Linked DNA regions of Alligator mississippiensis. The main gene of each other region encodes a partner of the protein of the gene in region 2 in a complex. Links are inferred from orthologs where the notes say so. Each region holds a gene or a part of one and is shown on either strand. Other genes may lie near its edges. The genes, in order: MTA3, CHD5 and CDK2AP2.

The links.
Region 1: CHD5 (region 2) and MTA3 share a complex: the UniProt entries of both Homo sapiens proteins name them as parts of the nucleosome remodeling and deacetylase (NuRD) repressor complex. The link is inferred for Alligator mississippiensis from reciprocal best matches to the Homo sapiens genes CHD5 and MTA3.
Region 3: CHD5 (region 2) and CDK2AP2 share a complex: the UniProt entries of both Homo sapiens proteins name them as parts of the nucleosome remodeling and deacetylase (NuRD) repressor complex. The link is inferred for Alligator mississippiensis from reciprocal best matches to the Homo sapiens genes CHD5 and CDK2AP2.

Annotation. Positions count from the first base shown.
Region 1 is NC_081824.1:194,058,726-194,066,617, reverse strand, and holds the start of MTA3 (metastasis-associated protein MTA3), read right to left. Parts: upstream 3,069-7,892; 5' UTR 2,859-3,068; coding exon 2,831-2,858; intron 1-2,830. UniProt on the Homo sapiens protein: Acts as a component of the histone deacetylase NuRD complex which participates in the remodeling of chromatin.
Region 2 is NC_081836.1:18,202,986-18,211,047, forward strand, and holds the start of CHD5 (chromodomain-helicase-DNA-binding protein 5), read right to left. Parts: upstream 3,069-8,062; 5' UTR 2,886-3,068; coding exon 2,831-2,885; intron 2,590-2,830; exon of another isoform or gene 2,501-2,589; intron 1-2,500. Other genes in the region: RPL22 (large ribosomal subunit protein eL22), read right to left, coding at 6,426-6,570. UniProt on the Homo sapiens protein: ATP-dependent chromatin-remodeling factor that binds DNA through histones and regulates gene transcription. May specifically recognize and bind trimethylated 'Lys-27' (H3K27me3) and non-methylated 'Lys-4' of histone H3.
Region 3 is NC_081825.1:170,472,850-170,480,023, reverse strand, and holds the start of CDK2AP2 (cyclin-dependent kinase 2-associated protein 2), read left to right. Parts: upstream 1-4,104; 5' UTR 4,105-4,481; coding exon 4,482-4,596; intron 4,597-7,174. UniProt on the Homo sapiens protein: Acts as a component of the histone deacetylase NuRD complex which participates in the remodeling of chromatin.

The DNA.
Region 1 (7,892 bases), on a different chromosome or scaffold from region 2:
TGTAGAATCTTCATCTCCCCATGGCTAAGCGCTTTCAATCTCCAGTGTATTCATAGACGCTAGGGTCGGAAGGGACCTCACAGATCATCGAGTCCAACCCCCTAAAATAATCAAAACATCTGTGCGCAACATCTTTCCCTCAATCTGTTTTCTCAAAACCTACCTTTTTTGGAGATTCTCTAAGAAATGCTTCACTAAATTCAAATGTAATTTGAAAGTTTGTCTTATTTTCGTTTTGCAACAATGTCTGAGTTTTCTCTATATATGGTAGAAGTGAATATAATCCAGTAATCTCCAATTACTGATTACAGTCTTCAAGGGTAATCTCCAATTAACTAGCTTCACTATAACCCACCCTACCTCCCAGATGGTTGTTGAGAAACATCTTAAGATTAAACCACAAAAAATATGCATGCTATCATTGTTTTTCATCTGGAACACAAAAGTAGAAAGTTTAGCAAGCTCTCAACTAGTGGTTCTCAACTTTTTTCATATCATGATCCCACCTAAGAAAAGAAAGTTTCAGGATCCCATCTCGTTTCACCCTAATGAGAGGATGGTTTTCACCTCTATTACGAGTTGAAGACCCACAGGATGAGAATCCAGTCTGAGCAGCAGGAACTACATTGTGTACATCAAGGATGTCAAACTCATTTGCAACACCCCCTGGCCAGATTCAGATCCCAAGGAGCCTTGCTGGCCAACTCCACACACACCTTGGTCAGTGGTAGCAGCAGGGCTGCGTCAGCTCAGGGAGCCACAGAGATTAATGCAGTCATGGCTCAGCCTGCAGCAGAAACACATCTCCATACCTCAGCAGGCAAGGTTCTTTGGGTAGATGCAATACCTTTTATTAGACCAACTGAGTAGTTGGAAAAAAGTTCTTTGCAAGCTTTTGGGCACAATCACCCTTCTTCAGGCATAGAGAGTCTCTGCTGTTCTGAGACTCCAAGAAATGAGAGAAGCTAGAAGTGTGGCAAGATGTCAGTGAGAATGTAAACAGGCAAAAATTAGGAAAACAAAAAGTTGTACCTATTTACATTCTCACTGACATCCTGCCACACTTTTAGCTTTTGATTCCTTAGAGATCTCAGAACAGCAGAGACTCCCTATGCCTGAAGAAGGGTGATTGCACCCAAAAGCTTGCAAAGAACTTTTTCCCAACTACTCAGTTGGTCTAATAAAAGATATCACATCTACCCAAAGAACCTTGCCTGCCTATGTCCTTAGACCAACACGGCTACAACCAAAAACCCAGTCTCCATACCTCAAAATTAAATTGTGGGTCTGCGCCTGCTCATTCTACCCCTCCAAGAGCTCCACTGTACAGATGATGGCTCTGTAGGCCAGATCCAGCCTGCAGGCCACATCTTTGACATCCTTGTTGTAAACCATTACCTGATCTTCAGAAGCACTACTCTAGTAAAGACTGAGTAAAGATTTACAGGACTAAATGACCTAACAGAGGAAGAGGAACAGAGTGGACTTGTTGCTATAACTGCATCAGGTGGAAGGGGGACAAGGGGGACCCAGTTCATCAGTTTGCCATCTTTAATTCAGGCTTCCTTAGCACATGATTTGCTCAAACAGGAAAACATGTATCTTATTAAGTTCCTGTTCTCCATGTCCCCTGCACCGGATACTACTTTGGGCAGTGATAGGACAGGTATACTATTGTGTAGTAAATGTCAGGGGGTGTACAGAGGCAAAATTCAGCTGGACTTTTCCCTTTCACATTCTTTATGCCAGGAATCACAGCAAAGCAGTATTGCGGTGTACACAGGAAGTGTTTGTCTTCTTCCACAGACTCTTGGACTCTCTGACTGGCCTCACTTCCTTTGTGCCCATGCAGCGGGTGAACCGACACACAAGGGAGAGAAGGGGGATGAAAAAAAAAATTGCTCTATTCCCCCGCAGACCGCAGGCAGCTTATCATCAAACTGTGGTGCGGTGGGGTGGGGATGGAAAGGGAAGCAGGGGTAGGAACTGCACCTTCAAGAAGCAGCAAGGGGGAATGACAGACACTGCAGGAAGTCCCAGACAGATGCAGGTTGTGGGCCCATCAGACCTGAGCAGAGGCCAGGCACAGGACCTCCGGCCCTCAACAACCTCCTGCCCAGGGATGGCTGCCTCCCCCCGCAACACACACACAAGCATGGGTACACACACAGGCACACATGTACACACCCACACAGGCAGGCACAGGTGCATAAGCACACACCCAGGCACACGTGAGCACACACAGGCACATGCACATATGCACGCGCACACACAGGAACATGTGTGCACATACACAGACACACGTGTACAAACACAAACAGAGCCACATGTATATGTGCACACTACAGGTATGGGCATTTATGTGCACGAGCACGCGCACAGGCACACTAGCACGCACACTTCAGGTACGCACGTAGGCGCACAAGCACACACGTGCGCACACACTACAGGTACACGTAGGCGCACACAGATGTGCACACGTGTGCACGCACACTACAGGTACACACACGCCCGAGCAGTCACACAGAGGTGCACACACTACAGGTACATACACGCACACAGGCACACACGTGTGCACACAGGGACACCCAGAGGCTGCGGGGAGCACGTGCTCGCCCCGCCGAGGGGGGGCGGGGGCGCTGCGTGTGCCCCCGGCCCTGCGGGCAGGCCGCCCGTGCCCTCTCCCCGTGGCAGCGCCGGGCCGGGCCGGGCCCTGCTCCCCGTCCTGCCCCGCTGCCCGGGGCCGGGCCCGACCCCACACACCCCTCCCCCCCTACGCGCTGCCCCTTGCCCGCAGCGCCCCGGGGGGCCGGGCCCGGCTCCCACCTACCTCCCACTCGGTACATGTTGGCCGCCATGTCTGCGCGCTGCGCCTCCTCCTCCCGCCGCCGCCGCCGGGCCGGGCTAGGCGAGGAGGGAGCGGCTCCCGCGGCTCCCACCACCTCCCCCCTCCTCCTCCCGCCCGCGCGCTGATTGCAGCGCGCAAGGGGTTAATCTTGGCCCGGGGGCTGGCCCTGCGGGGGCCCGCGCAGGGCGGAGAGACACCTGCACGCCGGGCCGGGGCGCCGCGCACGAGTCGGGCTGGAGTGGGCGGGCCGCCGGGGGGCATCGGGGCATCCTCCCCCTCGCCCGGTGCAGGACGGGCCTTAGCCAAGCTGGCCCCATACACATCATAGGAAATGTGGGTTGGAAGGGATGTCAGGGGGGCGTCTGATCCACCCCCCTGCTCAAAGCATGACCAGCCCAACTACAGCATCCTGGCTTTGTCTAGCCGGTCTTAAACACCTCCTAAGGATGGAGAGTGGGTAACCTGCTCCAGTGCTTTACCACCCTCCTCTTGAAAGTTTATTTTTTCCCCCTAATAATGTATCTAAACTTCCCATCCTGCAACTTGAGACCATTGCCCCTTGTTCCATCACCTGCCACCACTGAGACGTCTAGCTCCAGTCCTTTGTCTAACCCCAGGGTGTCACACACGGCCTGCAGGCCAAAAGACCAGCCTCCAGCCTTGCTAGGGACATTGTCCCACCACCTTAGCCAAGCACCCTCATGAGAGCTACGGCACTGGAGCCCCCACAGACATATGGGGAGATAGCCAGGGCACAGACTTTCATAGATTTTTGTAGACATTAGGGCTGGAAGGGACCTCATAAGATCAAATGTTTGTTGAAGGTGTCCAGAGTAGGTGTCCAGAGTAGGTGCTTGCACCACTTTGGTAAGGAGTCTATTCCAGACCTTGGAGGCTCAGCCAGTAAGGAAGTTTTTCCTTATGCACGGCCTAAAATGGTCTTGCTGGAGTTTGTGACCACTGGACCTTGTCATGCCTTGGGGTGTTCTGGTGAACAGACATTCCCCCAAATCCTGATGCATACCCCTTATATACTTATAGGCTGCCACCAAGTCACCCCTGAGCCTGTGCTTCTAGGTCCGCAGCTCATTCTTGTCATAGCAGGTAAATGCCTGGGGTGGCAGGCCTCTTCCCGCTGGACTGGAAACAGAGTCTGTGGGCCCAGTCAAGCCCACTGGGCCATCCCCACACCAGTCATCCAGCCCACACACTAATCCTGTAGCACTTCTCTGGCCTGCAAGTCCAGACAAGTTTGACACCCCTGGTCTAACCTGTTAGCAAACACCTGCATGTGACTGACTACACCAGGGGTGGGCAAAAGGTGGTCCACCACGCCATTCTATCCGGCCTGAGGGGCTCCTAAAAAATTTAGAAAATGAATATTGATCTGCCCTGGGCTCCCTGTCATGCAGCCCTTGATTGCTTGCCAAAACTCAGTAAGAGGCCCTCCGCCCAAAATAATTGCCCACCCCACAACCACAAGGCGCAGCACCCTCATCTGCCACAAGTACAGCAGGGGGACCACAGCAGCCCATGTCCTGCTACTATAAGTATTATTAAACACACCTGAGAGATCCAAGGAAAAGAGCCAGGCCCCCTGCTACAGAGGAAGGCAAAAACTTCCACAGTCTATACCAATTTCTGATATACCATGGGGTAAAATTCCTTCTTGATTCTAACTACAGCATTTGGTCTAACCCTGAGCACAGGGGCAAGACCTTTCAGCCAGAACCCTCCAGGAGTCTTGGCACACCCCACTCACAGGATCAACCCAGAGACTACGGATAGGAATCCACAGTGTAAAAAATAATCTGACCTGTTGCAGTCCTTCAGAGTTCTTTACAACAGAAGAATGCCTCTAGTATTTTCCCAACATTGAAAAATGAGTGGAAGCTAAGAGCTGACATTTTTCAAAGGGTGCCTGCCCTGAGTCTAAAAAGGTTGAGAACCAGTGGTCTGTTGTATGTCCATGGAAGGAGAAATGTTAAGAGCTGTGTATCTAGATGAGTGGCTTTTCACTTTTCTAGATTCAAAGCACCCCTCAGTAAATGCCAGCTCTTAGCTTTCACTCATTTTTAACTACAGGAAAAAAGAGCAATTCTGGTGTAAAGGGCTCAGAAAATTGATTATAGGACAGAGTGTTTTCCGGTTTGATTGGATTCCTATTTGAAGTCTCCGGGTTTACCTTGTGAGTCAGTTATAGGTGTTTGCTCACTTAGCAGTACTAAGACTGCATAACATTTCAATATTGGTGAGTGGATCTTGTGGCACCCTGCTTAAGAATCACTGATCTAAACATAGGTTTGTTATAAAGCACAAGTAAATGAATGGGTGCCTATAATGAAAGTAAGGAACATAATCACAGTTGTGTCTTTGGGCAGTGAAGTATGCACCCATACATAAAGGCACTTTAGAGAAGATACAAATGCATGCTTATTATGGAAGAGGGGTGCATGCAGGTGCCTGTGTACTCTTATGCATGTCCACAGATTGATATTAGAGTTTGTGTACTTGTGTTTACTGATAGGGTATGTGAAATACATATTTGGAGTATTTAAATAATTGAAATTCCTATGAGCAGGTCCTCATTCTACTTTTTAACTGTCCCTCATTATAGATACATGATGTACTACTACTCCATGAAAAAAGACACACTCTTATTTTTGTAAGATATTTTCTTTGAAATGTTCAGTCACAAAATGGATCTAATTAACCATGCCATTTATCTTACAGCAATTATAGTATTTCACACCTTTTAACAATTTCAGACCACTTAACAGACAGCATAAAAACCTTTCTTGTAGCAGAAGGCTACAATCATGTGCCTATAATGACTATACCTTTTTACATTTAGAAGAAGATAGTTTGAACAATTTGTTCAAATTTCCACAGTACTAGTAGAGGCAGGACTTAATTGTGGCTTCCTGGTCTGGTCCTTTGTTCCACTGGATCACAGTTTGTCATAAAAGCAATGAATCCCACCCTGTGCTGTTTTTAACTTGTGACCCTCTTGGTTTTTATTTCCATGTTGTATTTTACATTCAGCATCCAGAGGTTTGACTGGCATAATCACTGCTGTACTCAAATATTAATATTCTCAACAGACAGCTGTATATTCTCATCCAAAGGGAGTTGCTTACACATTTATTCAGTGGCATTGTTGGTTTTTCATTTGTTTTACCATGATGATGTACCTTTTTTTCATTTGAGCAGTAACACACAATTCATCCGAGCATAAACCTTCAGTTAAAGTGATGATCTCCTTGAATACATTTGACAGTAGTAATCAAGGCTTGTTGGACGGTGACACATGAAAATTCTTATATTGTTTTCAAAAACCCTGTCTGAGAGTGAAAAATGTCCAATAGAAAAAGTTTACCATATATCCTGGAAAAATTACTAGATGAAACAAAGATAAATCTTGTAGCTGGTCTCAGAATCAATAAATGTTTTAAAAGAGTTGTTTACAAATAAAACTGATTCAGAAATGCTCTCAAGGCACCAATAACAAAATTATAAGTGATTTTCCTTGTTTATTTTAAATTCATCACATGAAAAACATATATTATTAAAGAGCTAGATTATGATTTGGACTCTTTCCTTGGAAAACAAAAAGGTTCTACTAATTTCTTGCGTAACAATGATGATGTGTCATTTGTCTCACATCCAGGATTGCTGTCTGTGTATCCTGTTATAAAGATGGCAGAAAGCAAGACCTTAGAGACAAACTCATTCAGAAAGGCTTAAACTTTCATAGGCAACAGCTTACTTCATCAGATGCTATGGATGATATAAAGATGGCATCTCACATCATTCCTGAGTTAAAAGGAAATACACTGTAGAATGCAATAAGTTAGTAAACATAAGGGGAAAAATCATTAACCATACATATGAGAAGGGACCTACTGAATTTGAGGCAGTATCTGCTGATTTTTCAGGCAGAATATGGGGCCTGGCAATCATGTTCGGGGGCAGAATGCAGGGTCCAGCCGCTGTTTTGAGGGCAGAATGCAATGGTCTCGTCCCATACTCCTCTGATTGGCTGAGGGGGGGCAGTGACCCTGCCCCTCACCATTGATTGGCTGCAAAGGCCCTGCCCCTCACCATGGATTGATGGAGAGAGGTAGGGCCACATGACAGGCAGCCAACATGACAGACAATCAATCAACGGCGAGGGGCAGGGGCATCAGCTATGCTGCCTGCAGCCCTTCAAGTGGGCAGCTCTTCCCCTTCTGCTTCCCCCCTGTGGCAGGCCGCAGCACCTCAAAAATTGCTGGCTTCCTCTGGGGAGCCAGGATTTTATTTTGAGTGAGTTTTCTTTTTCTCTCTCTCTCTCTCTCTCTCTCTCTCTCCCTGTCTTCTTTCTTCAGATTTCACTGGCATTGCCTACTTTCTTAGCCAATGCCAGATTTCACAAAATCTATAAAACTGCGATTTCATTAGGTCCCTACATATGAGTTTCCCTTCTTGGCAGTACGTATTCCAGTCAATCACATGCTCATATCCCTTCTAAAAAAAAGTCTGTGACCATTAGTATAACATTTCTCATACATTATCGAACAGTCCATGTTTCATTTCCTGAATTTAGTAGTTCTAGTGGAAAACAAGAGCAATTTAGCTGCTGTTAATTATGCAGCAACACAGGCCTCATACAAATATTCAGTTTCTGTCAGGAGAGTCAATGCTGCCCCAGGAAAAACTACAAGTGTACAGAAGTTGAGGCTTTTTTTCCCCCAGAGTAAAAATGGCCACTCTAGGAGAAAAATAACCTGGGAGCAACCAGAGTTAAATCACCCTGGGAGAGTTTCTTCTAGAAGAACAAATGTCCGTACATCCTGTGCTGAGTAACTTTTCTACTAGGAGAACAAACCTGGGAGAATTATCCCAGATTATTTGAATGTATGTACACAGCCACACAGAGTCCCTCAAAAGGGTTTGATCACTACAATAACATCTTGCCTGGAATATTAAAAAAAATCAACAGTTTAACCTTGTTTTTTAAAGAAATAATTAATTTAAACATTTAAATAACATGAAAAGTTCA
Region 2 (8,062 bases):
GCCTGACCAACACTATATGCCTCTCTTCGACCTCTGATTCTGCTGCTAAAGAAAGCAAGTTCCAGGACAGGGAACACTAAAGCCCTTCTCCAGAGGGGCAGAGAGAGGACAAGTTCCTCTCACCCCACTCCTGTGTGTGTCTCTGCAAGATGGAAGCACTGTGATTGCTACTGCCTCCAACACGAACATAAGGACAGCTAGAATAGGAAACGCTAAGTGAGAGAACCCTGCACCCCCTCTGCTGCACACTTGTATTTCTTCTTTCTGTTTTTCTTAGCTGAAAAGAAGTACCCATCAATGGAGGAAACTCCTCTGGGATGTTTTCTTATGCATGTATAGAAAAAGTGTCAATCTGCAAAATTCTAAGCACCTTTCCAGGAAGAACAATTACAATGGGTTCAGACCCTAATCACCATCATTCTGCACACTGAGCTTGTGGGTAAATGAACTGAAAATTGGGAGGAGAAAAGCAGCAATGGCAATAGATTTAACAGGTGAATTACTGATGCCTTAATCCCCATAACAGGAAATCACTGGACACAAGTTGTTGTTTTTTATTTAGATTACACTAATCCGCTCCACTTACATCTCTCTCCAACACATGCAAAGTCACACTCTCATTTCCATGGCACAACTGTGGCCACTGATTATCTGCCTGATTAGACATCAGTCAGGTGTATTAAGAGTGAAAACCAAAGGATCTTAATAATCTCCAGTCATTTTTGCAAAGGAAGTACAGACCCTTTTTGACACTGATGGGGTGGCATTTAACTGCCAGATGTTCAAAATTCCTCCTGCCTTGGAAAACAAAGCATAGGATAGAGATAAATAGCTTCACAGCTTGCAAAAATGAGCATCCTGTACCTGAGTTCTTAATGATACATGTCTAATGGGCTTTTGGAATCACAGTCCCTCACTCACTACCGTCCTCATGGCTTTGACACTAGGCACCAATATCACTTCTCCACTGGAGAGACTGAAGGTTAGAGCCTGACAGAATTAGCAAATCAGCTCTCATTTATCCAGAAATTCTACTTTGGTCTTATATCCTTGTTCCTAAGTTGCATTCGACACAGAAATGCATTTATTTTGGAAATTTAAGAACAAGGCATATCCACTGGAAGTTTCTAACAGGCACCTCATGCAGAAGGTTGAAATGGCATGCTACAGCACTGCACAGGCCTCAGGCTGGCTCCCTGTGTCGGGGGAACTTCCTTACTCTCATCAGAAGCAATTGCAACTTAATTGGCTTCTATGGATTTGTAGCTGCTTATGCTAGCAGTGAGTTTGGCCCAAGTGCCTGCTTTATTAGATACAAGAGAAGTTCCAGGTGGGAGACATGAACAAGGCTGACTTAAAAACAAAAAACTCTGCAGGCAGAAGCTTCTTTCTACTTTTCAATTTTTACTTCTTTGTCATTAAGATAGAAAACACAGAAGAATGCCACTCCTGGGAGCAGCTGCTGGAGACCCTGCCCAGGGTTATCTGGGAGAGCACCAGGCTATTCCACTGGAGGCTTTGCGTGTGAGAAACATCCACTGAAAACCACACCACCCTCCTCTCGAGCACTTTGGTCCCCATTAACACTAGGTTAAGCCAAACACCCTGACACCATTAGCACCACTGGTCATTTTAGTGTCACTCGCTTAGACTGACACTTCCTACTTAGGTCACACCTGGAGAAATGGCACAGCCATCAGGCCTGCTGACCAGTACCAAACCTCACAGTACAAGTTATCCCTTCGCCCAGTTATGCCCCATGTCCATGAACGACGCATGCTCCCAGCAACTGGGGGGGAAGGGGGGTACGGCAGTGGCAGGAGCACAACGGCGGTGGCAGAAGCGGGAGAGCTCCCGCAGACGCCGCTGACAGCGCCGGTGTGGGGGGAGGAGGGTGGCGAGTGCTGACCAAGGGTTGGCGACCACCTGCAGCTGCCGTTGATGGTGGCCAGCAGTGATTGTGGACCGCCTGCAGACACCGGCGTCTTTTGTAGGGGATGTACTGCCGCACTCAGGGGGTGCATGTGCACCCCCTACATGTCATCCCTGCCCATGTCCCTGCCCATGTGGCAGGAGCCCTGTTCCACTGCGGTTACTGAATTCTAACCTGGACACGGCTGATGCACTCAGCAGCCTAACAGCACGGTTTTACTTGGACTTAACTCAGCAGCTGGAGCACACTCCAGGGTGCTGCCAGCCTGGCAGACGGGTGTCACCTGTACCAGCCACAGACCGGTAAAGCAGTCTGTTGGGTAAGAAAACCAACAGGAAAATCCAGATCCTCCAACTGAGGCTTGTTTAAGCTGACTTGGCTGCCCTGGCCAGTTAGGTGGCCTTAATACCACACCCCAGTGCACGGGGTTACAGCCCCCAGGACACAGAAGGATTTCCAAACAGCCGGGAAGGGCAGCGCGAGCAATGCAAGGGCACAGGATACAACCTGGGCAGGGAGAGGGAGGGACAGCAGTGCGCCAGGCCTGGGAGAGGGAAAGGCAAGGGAGGGGTCTACACCGAGGTGCCCTAAGCGGGGAAAGGATGACAGCACAGTCTCCAAGGCAATGTGGGAGGAAACAACAGCCTGACGCCAAGGTAGGGAAAGTTTATGGCAGACAAGGGGGCCAAGACACGGGGGGCCAGGCGGGCTGTGCTGGGAAACGCGCTCTCCCCGGCGCTGGGGGCTGGCGGGGCCGCACCTGCAGCCGCTGCCGGGAGCGCGGGGCCGGGCCGGGCCGGGCGCGGCTCGCGGGCAGGGGCAGGGGCAGGGGCACCGCCGGGGCCGCGGGCAGAGCCCGGGTGCCGCCCCTCCCCTGGGCCCGGCCGTGGCCCCTACCTGACACGTCCTCCTCGTGCTCCATGTCGTCCGGCTCCTCCTCGGGGCCCCGCATGCTCCGCGCCCCGGCGGCGGCCGGCGCCTGCCCAGCCCCAGCCCCAGCCCCGGCCCCGGCCCCGGCCCGGGGCGCCCCGCGGCGCCAGCCTCCACCCGCGGGCGCTGCACGGGGCGCGGCCGCGGCGCGAAGATGGCTGCGGCTGCGGCTGCCCTGGCTCCCGCTCCCGCTCCCGCTCCCCCGCCTTCCCCCGCCTGTGGAGGCGAAGCCGCCCGCGCTCCGCGCCGCCCCCCGCGCCCGCGCCCGCCAGCCGGGGAGGGGGAGCAGCGGCACCAGCCGGGACTACACATGCCCAGAGTGTGACGTCCAGTCTGGTTGCCCAGGCAACCGCATCCCATCGCCTCCGCACCGCTCGCTCGGCCGCCGGGGCTGCGCAAGGCGCGGGGCCGGGGCCGCTCGGGAAGGAGGGAGGGAACGGGCGTCCGCGCCCCCCACGGCTGCTAAGGATGCTGCCGCCTGCGCCCCGCTCGGCTCGGCCCGGCCCGGCCCGGCCGCGCGGGTGAACGGCCAGCCCTCCCCCCGGCGGCCGCCAGCCCGCCCGCTCAGCTCCGCGGCTGCAAGAGGCAGCTTCTGCCAGGGCCGCCCCGCCCGCCTGGCTCCCCCGCAAGGCGAGGTCACCGCACTGCGCTTCTGAGGAAGTGACTTGCGAGCTGAAGAGCCGCTAGACGAGCCGGCACAGCGGGGCGCCTGCAGCACCTACCTGGACGCGCGCCCCTCCCGCGCCCGCCCCCGCCCCCGGGGAAGCGCTCCCCGGCCGGCCCCCGCGGCTCATCCCGCACAGGAGTGAAGCAGAGCAGCCCGTCTGGGCTCTGAGCAGCCCACAGCTGGCCCGGTGTTAAAAAGGAATTGGACCCACAAGGTTCTTCGGGTAAATGTCTAGTCTTTTATCAAGGGTGTAGGTTGAAGCTATGTTGATCTAAGGACATAGGCAGACCAGGTTCTTTGGGTGAATCTGATATCTTCTTTTAAACCAATTTATATAGTTGAGGGAAATTTTTTTTAAGCAAGCTTCTTTACTTTTCCTTCCATCCAGGAAGAGCATGCACCAACTGCAGAAGCTTCCTCAGCCTGACAAAGGGTGTTTGTACCCAAAAACTTGCAAAGAACAATTTTTTCCAACTGTTTAGTTGGTCTAATAAAAGATATCACATTTGCCCAAACAGCCTTGTCTACTTATGTCCTTAGGCCAACACGCAGGAAAAGGAACTGGAAGCACTTTACCAGCAGCCCTTCAGCTTGTGATGCAAACAGCTGCTTCAAAGAAGGGAAGCCAAGGCACACAGTGAACAAACACCCTTCTTTCACACACCAGGAGCACCAGGTCACATACATTAAAACCTCCGACTAGATGTGCATGTCACTCAGCTCAGTACATTATTTACTGGTTCTTTTTGCACCTGTCCAAAAAGATGACTCCCAAGTCTGGCTCCAGTGCCTATGTATAGCTTAGTCCATCAGAAGTGGCAGAGCCTGACATCAATAAGTTGTCCCATTTTAGTGGTGGAAATACAGGTGCTTCACAGGTAAGAACTCAGCAAGATTCCCCACCCAACCTAAGAGAGCATTTCACCATCTGGAATTCCAGAAGGGAAAAGCCTGTCACAAATACCCTAGGTAAGCCACATCTTAGATTACAGCAACAAATGCCGCTGCAATGGCATAGGGTCTTCTATAGAAGGTTAGCATCATTTAAATTAACACTTCAGTGTACGCCTATTTCTCACACCAGTAAGAAAACAGATTTTAACTAAAAGAAAGAAGCACTAATAAATGCTTTCATGTTCAAGAAATGTTTTAGTGACTCAGTGCACCAACATGTTGGCAGTTGGGGAGGGAAAAAAAGACCTGAGGAACTAAAACCAAGAGTTCACATACTCAGACTTCCAAGCACAGATCCAATCAGGCTCCAGTGTGGCTGATTTAGATTTTAGAAATTCAAGTGCACTTGATTCCTTGATTTTACTGCAAGTGCAGTGCAGACAGGCCTGAAGCCCAGCAGCCTATCATGATAATGTGAAGCCAAGTTACTATGACTTTTCCCAGCCAAAGTTCAGTAGCCTTGATTTGAACACTGTTCACTGAGCCATTGTTGCAAACTGCTTGCCAATCTGAGCCTTTGGTCAGCAGGGCTCATGTTGATAAGCATTTCCATTTAGAAATATCACAACAATCTCTGAAGACACATCCATCCAACCTTCTGTCACCAAAAAAAAGCAATGGCAAATTACTAGGGAGAGGGAAGAGAACAAGAAATAACGCTACCTACAAGTTTAATAACAGTTTCTAAAGCTCATTGAAAAATGACTCCATCAGCCCTATGAAATAACACCTTGTTTAATTACTTGTAAAATGATAAAGGTACGGTATGCGACTAAGAACAGATTGTCATGCTACAAGACTGTCTTCATCTGTAATAAGTAAGCAAAAATATACCTGTATAAATAACAAATACTCAAACATTGTAGCAGAGCTGATAACTTCTTAGGGATGTGAAGAAAACTGACCCCACTGCACGCATTCATACCAATATTCCTACACCTTTAAGTTTTCTCAGGCTGAGAGAAGCATCTGAGTGCACAATGCTTTGACAAGTTGCAAATTCAGATTTTACATTGCAGTTTCAAAAGCACTATTGCAAAAAGTTCTTGGAAGTCAACATTACCCAAATAAAAAAAGTGTTGTGTGATTGATCTTTTCTATCAACCAGACTCCGCTGCCACCCCTTGTGGGACATTAGCCAAGGAAGGGGAAACCTTTAAAAACAAAAAAAACCCCATTCTATTCAGACTAGACCTCTGGTTGGAGATAACTTTGAAGCCACATACAGTGATTCTTAATTAAAAATTAAACCAGATAGGTCTGACAGCAAAAAAAAAAGGGTGGGAAATTAACTGGCTAAACTTCTCATCTGTAGTTGAGACACTGAGATGAAGTGGTTGGTGTTCTGACTACATCCCCTCCTCAGCTTCCAAAATCTCAACCCTTTCATAACATATGATGCTACAGGGCTCCATAAAACAAAGCAAAGCCAGATGGCACAGCAAATTGTTAGGGCTAAGTGTGACAAAGTCAAAGCATGACAAATCTCTTTTCCAGACACTTACCAATTTTCATTCTACTATACTGGAATATTTTAAGTGAAATAAAAATCTGCTACAAAGAGACCGTTAAGTAATATTGTACTTGAGGTATTACAAAAATAAACAGGAAATCTCAGTTCTCCAAAACGAGAAGACTATTTTATGAGGGACCCCAGATTCTGCAAGAGAAATTCTCTTATGAATCAAGATCAAGCAGGAGGAAAAAATGTCTACATTACTGCAGTCTGGTTAGATAAAGTTTATCTGTACAACAAAAGCTGTTAACCTTTACTAATTAAGTACTTACTGTGGCATTAGAATGACCACCATATCAATCAGGACAGTTGGAAGAGCTGCCTAACACTAGAGTTTTGAAAAACACAGAAAATGTTAACATTTTTTTTTTTTCATTTTATTCAAGGAAATTTAATATACAAAATATTTCCAGATTCACATGCATTTAATCTTCTTCCTCTTCCTCTTCTTCATCCTGGTTGATCTGGAAGTATCGTAATTCATAACTTTCCTTGCTATTGGCAACGACACGCAGCCAGTCACGCAAGTTGTTTTTCTTCAGATATTTCTTAGTCAGATACTTCAGGTATCTGTGGAAAGAAGGAAACCAGTAATCCAACTGAAAGCAGTACAATTACCTCTTATCCTACATTACATGCTGTAGGAGAAATTCAAATAAATAGTTTACAAGATTCCCATCATGCTTTTCTCTATGCTGTTTCAATTTTGCATTATATAACAAGAAGAGTTTGTCTTAAAGTCTTTCACACTTGATGAGACATTTTGGACAAACCCCACTGTGATTACAGATTGTAACATGCTATTTTACTTTTTCAGAAACAAAGAGGTAGTGTATAGGCTCAAAGCACTTTCAGGTCTGCAATATTTGCCTAACAGCACCATTCATTACATCTTTTTTCCTGAAGATCCTCCCCTGTGGGGCTTTACCACTAACTCGATTCAGAAGAACAAATTATGTTTTATATTAGTGTTTCAACAAGCAGATTTAAAATCTTCTCAACCAAGAAAAAAAAGTGTTCTCACCTTACTAGAAATGACTTAACTCTCTGCAAGGCAAGCCAGAAGGCTATTACTGCAGAAGTAACTACAAAAGACATGCTACTCAGAACACAGGAGGGAAAAGCTAAGGCACTTCTTGGGAGATAAGTGCCAAGTCATGCCCTGCCTTTGCACAAACTTAATTAAGAAAATAAAATTAAAAAGAACACCTTGGGGGCCGGGGGGGGGGGGGGGGGGAATACCAAGGAGAGCTCTCTAATGCAAAAAAAAAAAAAAAAGCACACATGACTATCCACATCAAAAGTGAAGATATTAGAAGCTTACATTCTAAACAAACTTTATTTTAGAAAAAAAAAAACTTTCAATGGAATCAGTGAATTAAGGCCTGCACAATAACATGCATCAAAACCAAATAATTCGGGGCTGGGAAAGGATGTTATCAATCACAGCATGAGTCCCCATGTAAAGGTACATGTCAGACAATGCAGCAATTTCTTTATAACAGAAAAGCCAAGCAGCTTTTTTTCTCCCTCCACCCCCAAATCCAAGAAAATTGATACTGTCAACAACAGCATGCCAGCAAGGCAGGGTTATTTTTGTTTGGTACCAAATAAAGGTACATGGCTTCATCAGACATTATAAAACTCAGTCACTAACCAACTGACATTTTTTCCAATTCTTTAGTAAGCAAATGCAATAATGATCAGAATACATGAGGTGCTGTGTTGAGAAATACATGATCTCTCTTGAGGGGTTTACAGCTTTCAAGTCAAAAGGACAGGGACATACAAGCAATACACATGGAAACGCATCACCTTAGTTAAAACAAACAAACACACAAAAAACCACCATTGCCACAACCATAAACACACTTAGAGCTTGACTTCCACAGTAACATTTAAATATAAATGCTCCTGTGCCTTACAAATGGTTTTAGAGAAACAAGCCTTGAGCACACCAGATGAGAGGGGGTTCCAACAATAAGGAACCAACACAGTAAAAAGCATATAGACAGCACTGCTGGCAAGAGAGTCAAAGGGAATGTGAAGAGAGAGATCAACG
Region 3 (7,174 bases), on a different chromosome or scaffold from region 2:
GTGAGGGGGTGGGGGGTGGCTACACACCCCCTCCATGTCTTTTTCCCTGGGACTGCACACAGCAGAGGGGAGCTGCTCCCTGCCCCGCCACTGAATGAACCACCCATGACTCTATCCCAATCTCTGGCTGGGTCCTGCAGCTGCATGTTCCTACCTTGGGCCCCATGCACCACCCCGGCTGGGTAGCATCCCCAGCCCCAGCCTCAGCTGCTAACCCTGCCCCACTCCCTCCCTCACCATGGGGACCTCAATCTGCCTCCCCACCCCAGACTTATCTGTAGGCAGCTGGGGGAGCTGCTCTCCCCTGCTGCCTGGGGCTGTGTTGCTGGCCACATGCGTGAGTGCACACATGCATGTGGCTCCTCCCATGTCTTGCTTCCCTTAGCCCCAAGCAGCCCCTTGCAGGCTGAAAGGGGAAACCTGCTGTTTCCCACAGTTTTCCACAGCAAATGGAAAACCTGGCTCCCTGCATGCTACTGGGAAACCCAGGACAAATGCTGTCCAGGAGTCAAGCAGCCTGGGACAAGGATTTGACCTTTAAATTTTGGGACTGTCCTGCCCAATTAGGAACGGGTGGTCACCTTAGTTGAGGGACCATATTGTGTGTGGAGCACTAGGGTTGGGAGTGAGTGGAATCCCTGTTTTGTGATCTGGGGAGATGGGACTGGAGATGAGGACAGGTCTATTTTGTGTGTAGGCAGGAAAGGGGGCAGACTAAGCCAAGGTGTACTCTGCACTGGGTCAATCAGTATTAGTTTGTTAATGAAATTTATTGATAACACACTCCTGCTATTTGTGCCAAGGTCATTAAAGAAAATAATTTCAGTCTCAAGACCGATCCTGGAGGCACTCCCTTCTGTTATTCAGCCCAATATTTCCCCTTTCAATGCTACCAGCTGTCATCTTCCCTTTAATCAGGTCCTTACTCACCCAACAGTTCTTGTATAGTATTCATTGCTTTCAGTTTAGCTAATAATTTCCTAGGTGACATTCTTTCAAATGCTTCTCTGAAGTCCAGACAAATGAGCTCTACTACATGTTCTTGGTCTAGAAAGACTGCTATCTTAGTGAAGATGCAGGATGGAATGTTTAAACTTTTGTAAACTCGTATTGTAATTTTTCCCATTTTCCATATAACTAATTTTTAGTCTTCAAAATTAATTCAAAATGCAACGATTAAAATTAATTAAAACATCTTCATATTATTAAGGCCAGACTAACAGATGTGCTGATGAAACTGTAAAGGTGTCTTGCTCAAAGTGTGAATTTGAGCCCTGCTGTGGAGTTGTGCCAAAAGCTGCCAACAGTTGACTTAGCTATAAATAGATACCAGGTTTCTGTGGCTGGGAAATTAAAAGGAGCTGGCAGTGATACTAGCCACATCATTCCCTTGTGTGCTGCTGACTGGAAACTGGCTTGTTTTAACCATGCTAACACAACTAGCCCTTTGACTTGGGCAGAATCTCAACCTAAACAGGCCTCTAGTTGCCCAGGTCACTCCTTTCTCAATAAATACAGGCACTATTTATTTTCTAGCCATAGGATACAATTCTTGATTTGATAGATTAATTACAAATCCTTGCTCCCAGACCTGTGATTGTGGGTGTTGAGTCTTTCAGAATTCCAGGATGCAGACTGCCAAGCCCCCACCCCTACATGGGCACATTGAGCTCTTAGTATTCTGTTTCCCATTCAGCCGTGGTCATTTCCATTTCCATACCCTCTCACCCTGCCTTTGGCTCCACTGTCAGCCTAACTTTCCTTACTGCAAAATGAGAAGTGGGTGCATCTACATGTGCTATAAATGCACTTACTGCACATTAAAAAAGGAGTAGTAAATTGCACCTGGGGAAAAGTCTTACATGTGTGCTGGCAAATTTGCTCCCAACTGGAGCAGGTGAGACAAGGGATGTCCCTGTGCCCCCTCCCCCCTGCCCTGCTCTGCCTTGTTGCAGCAGCCAGGGGGAGCTCCAGGCTCCCCGAGGTGCCAGCTCCCGGCTGGCAAAGGGCAGGGAGCTGGTCCCAATCACCACGTGTAGGGGAAAAGCTGTCCTAGCAGCTGGGACTGCTGAATCCCAGCCACGTGGGGATTGGACCCAAGTGGCTGGGAGAGGGGTGCTGCCTGGCAGCCATATGGGAATCAGGAGGGTCCTGATCCCCACATGACTGGGAGAGGACCCTTCCCATCCCCACATGGCTGTCTCTGCCAGGTGAGGATGTTTCTTCTGGCCATGTGGGGACACCTCTCTCGGTCATGTAGCTATTGGGATCCTGAGTCCCACTTGGCTGGGATGCAGCAGTCCTGGCTGCCAGGACAGCTCTCCCAGCCATGTGGTGATCAGGACAGTCCCTGTCCCTATGTGGCAGGGAGACAGTTGCCCCTGCAGCCAGCACAGCTCCTGCCACATGGGGCTTAGCCTGGCAGCAGTGGGCCCCCTGGTGCCTGGACTGGCCCAGAGCAAATGCTCCTGGCCAGCATCTGCACATGCACTACTGCACAGTGGCTAATGTACACTTGATCTACTACTACATGTATTTTCAGGTAGTAGATAACTGCACATTAGCCTATAATGCAGTAGCTTGGCATATGGATAAATAGTGACACTTTACTACGCAGTAAATTAGTCTATTGTGCAGTAAAGCATCTCCTGTAGACACACCCAGTATTTACTCAGTTTGTGGCCCACATTGCACCCCTCACTGCATACTAGCCACCCCGCTTCTGTCCTTGTTCTCTATTTCTTTTGTTATTTTTCTTAAATGTTGCAATGTCTAACACGTCTTAATGTTTAGCAATTCTCACTTTATTCTTAAATTTCTTAGCTTTCTGGGCTGTTCTGACCATTTATCCCACTTTTTGCAGACTCTGCTTATTCCAAATATCCTTCCTGAGGTGATATCCCTCCTCCCCACTGAATACAAGGTCCAGATAGATGTTTGCATCTTTGAGTTTCTGCACTTGAATTCAATTCCCGGGGCTCCTTAGGCTGGTTGACTTCAAGTGTGCCCTTCTGAAGCAGCCTAGATACAGACTTATTTTATTTTAATTCTTTGTGAATTAGACTGAATCATCTCATGATGATTTGACCTACACTCCCCCTACGCGTCACCAATGCTTCCAAGAGAAATGCCACTGGGAAGCTAAAGACCACAAGGCCTAGGGAGGCTGCAGCACCCACTGTAATGCCCTCTCCTGGAGCCAGCGGTGCTTTCCCTACCTTCCCCCTCACATGAACAGGGAACTCTAGGGATGCAGAAAGAGGTGCAGCTGCCAGCTGTAACTCAAAACGACTTTTGGTTCTGAGTTACAAGCTTACCCCAGACGAAACAGAAGTTCACTGTTGGTTGGGGGGGGATCTAGCTGGAGGCCAGGTTCCCACAGCAATGGCGAAGCTCTGTGCCAGCGTTCACCTTTTCGAGAATGAGAGAGGCGAAAGGCCATGGAGGGAGCTCTTCTTCGGGCTCCCTGGCTGGTGCCAAAGGGTAGAGGTGAATTGGAGCCTCTCCCCGAACCTAGGGGGCCTCCAATACACCTGTCCCACTGGTGTACTCCCTCTGCCCCCTTTCCCCCTCCCGTCCTGAAAACAGCGACAGGCTGGGAGCTCCCAGACACAAGTTACAGAAGACGCTAGTTTGAAAGGTCTTTATCTGATCCCTCCTGCAACAGGGGGTCAGGTTTTCACCAGGCAGGCCGTTTTTGAAGCTGTCTGCAGCCGCGTGCTTGTGTTTGGTCACAGCTAGAAGCTGCTTTCTGTGGCCTGATCAGGCAAAAATGGTCACTTCTCTTGCACCACAGAAAGCAGGCAGCCTCCCGGGGTCCTTTTCCTGCCCAGCGCCCCGGAGCGCCGGCGGGGCGGGCTGCAAGAGCTGCACACGGGCTGGACGCGGAGGAGGCGCAAACACGAAGTGCTGCAGGAGGACACGAAGGCCCTACGCACCGTGCGACACACGACACGAGCCGCCCCGCCCGGCCAGGCCAGGCCAGGCCGCGCCGCAGAGCGTCCCGCTGGTTTCCTTGGAGACGGCGGCGATCGGGAGGCGGGGCGACGTGATGAGGTCACAGAGCGCGGGGGGCGGAGCGCGCAGGCGCAGCGGCGGCGTCACTGCGAGCGGCCAGCCGGGGTCGGAGGCGAGCAGAGCGCGGGTCTGGCTGGCAGCCACGCGCCGCAGCACCGGCCCCACCCAGCGCGAGAGCGCGCCCCGAGCCGGCCAGCGCGGGAGCGCGCCTCCTGAGAGCCGGGCCTGCCTGAGCGCGACCGCGCGCACACACCCCACGCGAGGGCACTGCCGACCCCGCAGCGCCGGGACCCAGCGAGGAGAGCGGGGCAGCGGCAGCCAATCGGGAGCGAGGGGTGAACGGCGCCGGCCAATCGGCGCGAAGCGCCTCGCCGGCCGCCCAATCAGCGTCGCGCGCCGCGGCGGGGGCCGCCGCCAATCCGCGCCACGAGCCGGGAGCCCCGCGCGGCCGTCGCCCGTCGGGGATGTCCTACAAGCCCATCGCGCCCGCCCCCGCCAGCAGCTCCGGAACCGCCGGCGCCAGCAGCAGCAGCAGCAGCGCCAGCCCCGCCGCCCCCGGGCCCGGGGCCCCGCCCGCCGGTGAGGGACTTTCCGCCTCGCGCAGCCCCCGGGCGGGACTGGCCGGGTGGGGGGAGGGGGGTGAAACCTTCGCGAGCCGGAAGTGGCCTCTGGGTCCTAGTGCGAGACGGTGGCTTTGGGGCGGGTCCCGCCTAACCCTGCGGGGGAAACTGGCTCCTGAGACCACACATGGGAACCTGTCTGACCCGCGGCAGGGGGGCAAGCCCCTCCCCCAGGAGCGTCGGGGCTTAGCCCCAGCAGGAGCCCTGGGACGGCCCAGTTTGGTCCACAGCAGTTCTGGGGGAGGTGAGCGAGGTCCCCCCACAGGTGTAGCAGCAGGAGTGGGGAATCCTGCCCAGCCCAGCCCAGCCGCTTGGGAAATACCAGGTGCCTTGCACTGTGCCCAGCAGTTTTGGCCAGCATGTACAATGCCACCCATTGCAGCCTCTCCCTGGGTGGCCTGACCTGCTCTGTCCCTGCCGTAAGCTTGTCCTGACTGGTTTAGCCTTATGTAACTCAGCCAGTCAAGGAGCTCTGCTTCGTTCTGCTGCTGAGCATAGCCTGCTCTAGGCTGTACTGTTCCTCTAGTTATCTCCAGCCAGCGGTGTATGTCGGGGAGCTTCTGGGCTTCTAGCTGGTGCTCTAAAAGCACCCTTGGGCGTAGCTAGATCATCCCTGTCCAATGATTGTCTCACCTGTTCTTGAACCCCTCCTGTGAAGGAGAGTTCACAGCTTCCCTAGGCAGTCTGGTTCATTGCCTCACTGGTCTAACAGAGAAGAAGTTGGAGTGATGTGATGTAGTCGCCAAACAAGAAAATGCAGTTTGAAACAGGGCACACCTTCATGCCAAAGGCAGGAAAGAAATGCCATCACTCAATGTTGTCTGGGGCGAGGGGCTCCCTTACCAGGGGTAAAGGATAGCTGATGGTGGGTGACTTGACCTGCTGCTAATTGGCCAGCAGCTGAAGCTGTTGCCTTGTGGGCCTTGGTCACCAGGTACTGCTGTGGCCCATAGGACATGTGCATAAGCTTGTGTCCCCCAGGAGCAAGCAGTGCTGCTCCTCTGCCATGAATTGAGAAGGAAAGCTTCGTCAGACCAACATGGTGTCTTGGTTTCTTTCAGCATCCGTGCACTGTTTGTGCCTGGCTAGGCGTATGTAATAGGGGCTCCTGATCCTTATTAGTTGAGTGGAGTGAATGCAGTGCCACAGAGGGCAGGCTGTGGGGGCAGCTTGCAAAGAAGCTGGCTGCAGAGCTTTAACCCTTTATGGAAAAGCAACCTGCACATGCAGGCCATGGAGATGGGCTCCAAAAAATAAGTTTACTAATTAGTGAAGAGGATGCCCTATGCCTGGTTCTGAGAGTTAGAGGTCAGGTGACCCAAAGGGAATGGAGCCTAGGGCAATATAAGACTGGCTTTTAGGTTGGAGGGGGCTTTCTGGCCCAGACCTTGAAGAGAGAAGGATCTCTGCAGAGGGTCTCATAGATGAGTTGTTTTTGTTTCTCTTTCAGTTTATATTAGCTGTGAGGCATGGGGTGGCTAGAGGGGAAGAGTGGAGGCTACAAGCGAGCATCTTAGGGAGTGTATTGTTGAGTGTTTTGGTTTGGAGAAGGTAGTAGCCTTGTGAAGCCATGGCAAGTACCTAGAGAGGCCCTGTGAGTTTAGTTCATTGGAGCTGGGTGGAGACTGCAGGCCCAAGAGAGGGATATAGGTTAAGGGTAGAAACTGGCTTGAGACTGAGGACTGGTAAGTATTAAACAGAGGGAGACAAAGGGTTGGACTGATTGGCAGCCTGATGATGAGGAGAGCAGAATGAAGTGCTCTAAGGCCTGGTCTTGTGTTGCAAGGGCAGCTTTCCATATTTGTATTTATTTTCCAGCCAATGAGGATAGGACGATATCCTGTTCCTCAGTCTAGTTCCCCAGGATAAGTAGGGCTGTCTTCAGAGGCAGGGCAGCTTTTGGATTGGGCCTGAGAATATTGAGAGGTATCCTCCTTGCACCAAGGTGCAACAGTAGAAGGCCAAGACTCACTGCAACCCTAGTGTCCCAAAGGACTCTGGGAGACATTTTGTAGGGAGCTGTCAAGTGAGATTGAGTTAGTGGGGCAGAGGTGACATGCATTGCTGTAGGAAGGCTGGGGCAGCCTGAAGCTGGGCAGGCCAAGGATGGAGAAAGTGAGTTCAGCTCATGTGGTGGTGTGGGCTAGGCACAGGGAGGGCTGTGCCACAATCTCAAGCCATGGCCCATCCTGGGCTGAACTATACAACAGGGCAGAAAAAAGATGTCCCACTCGGTGAGTTTCTCTGACTCACTTCCCGTGTGAGTCAGCAGTCTGGGAGGAAGGTGGGTGCAGGCTGGGATGGCGGTGTTGAGAAACAGCTGTAGCAAGCTGAAGGGGTACTGTGTTGGGTGGACAGGTCCAGGAGGAGCACCTAATATTAGGGCTGATTTCTGAGTTGGGCAGTGGATCTAAGATCAGGCTGTGAGGAGGAGGCTCTTGAAAGGAGGTGGCTCTTCTGCAAGGCAGGATATTGCCTTTATGACATTTTTCTGCAGGAAGCTGACAGAAAACCACAAATTCCTGTGGGTGAGGTCA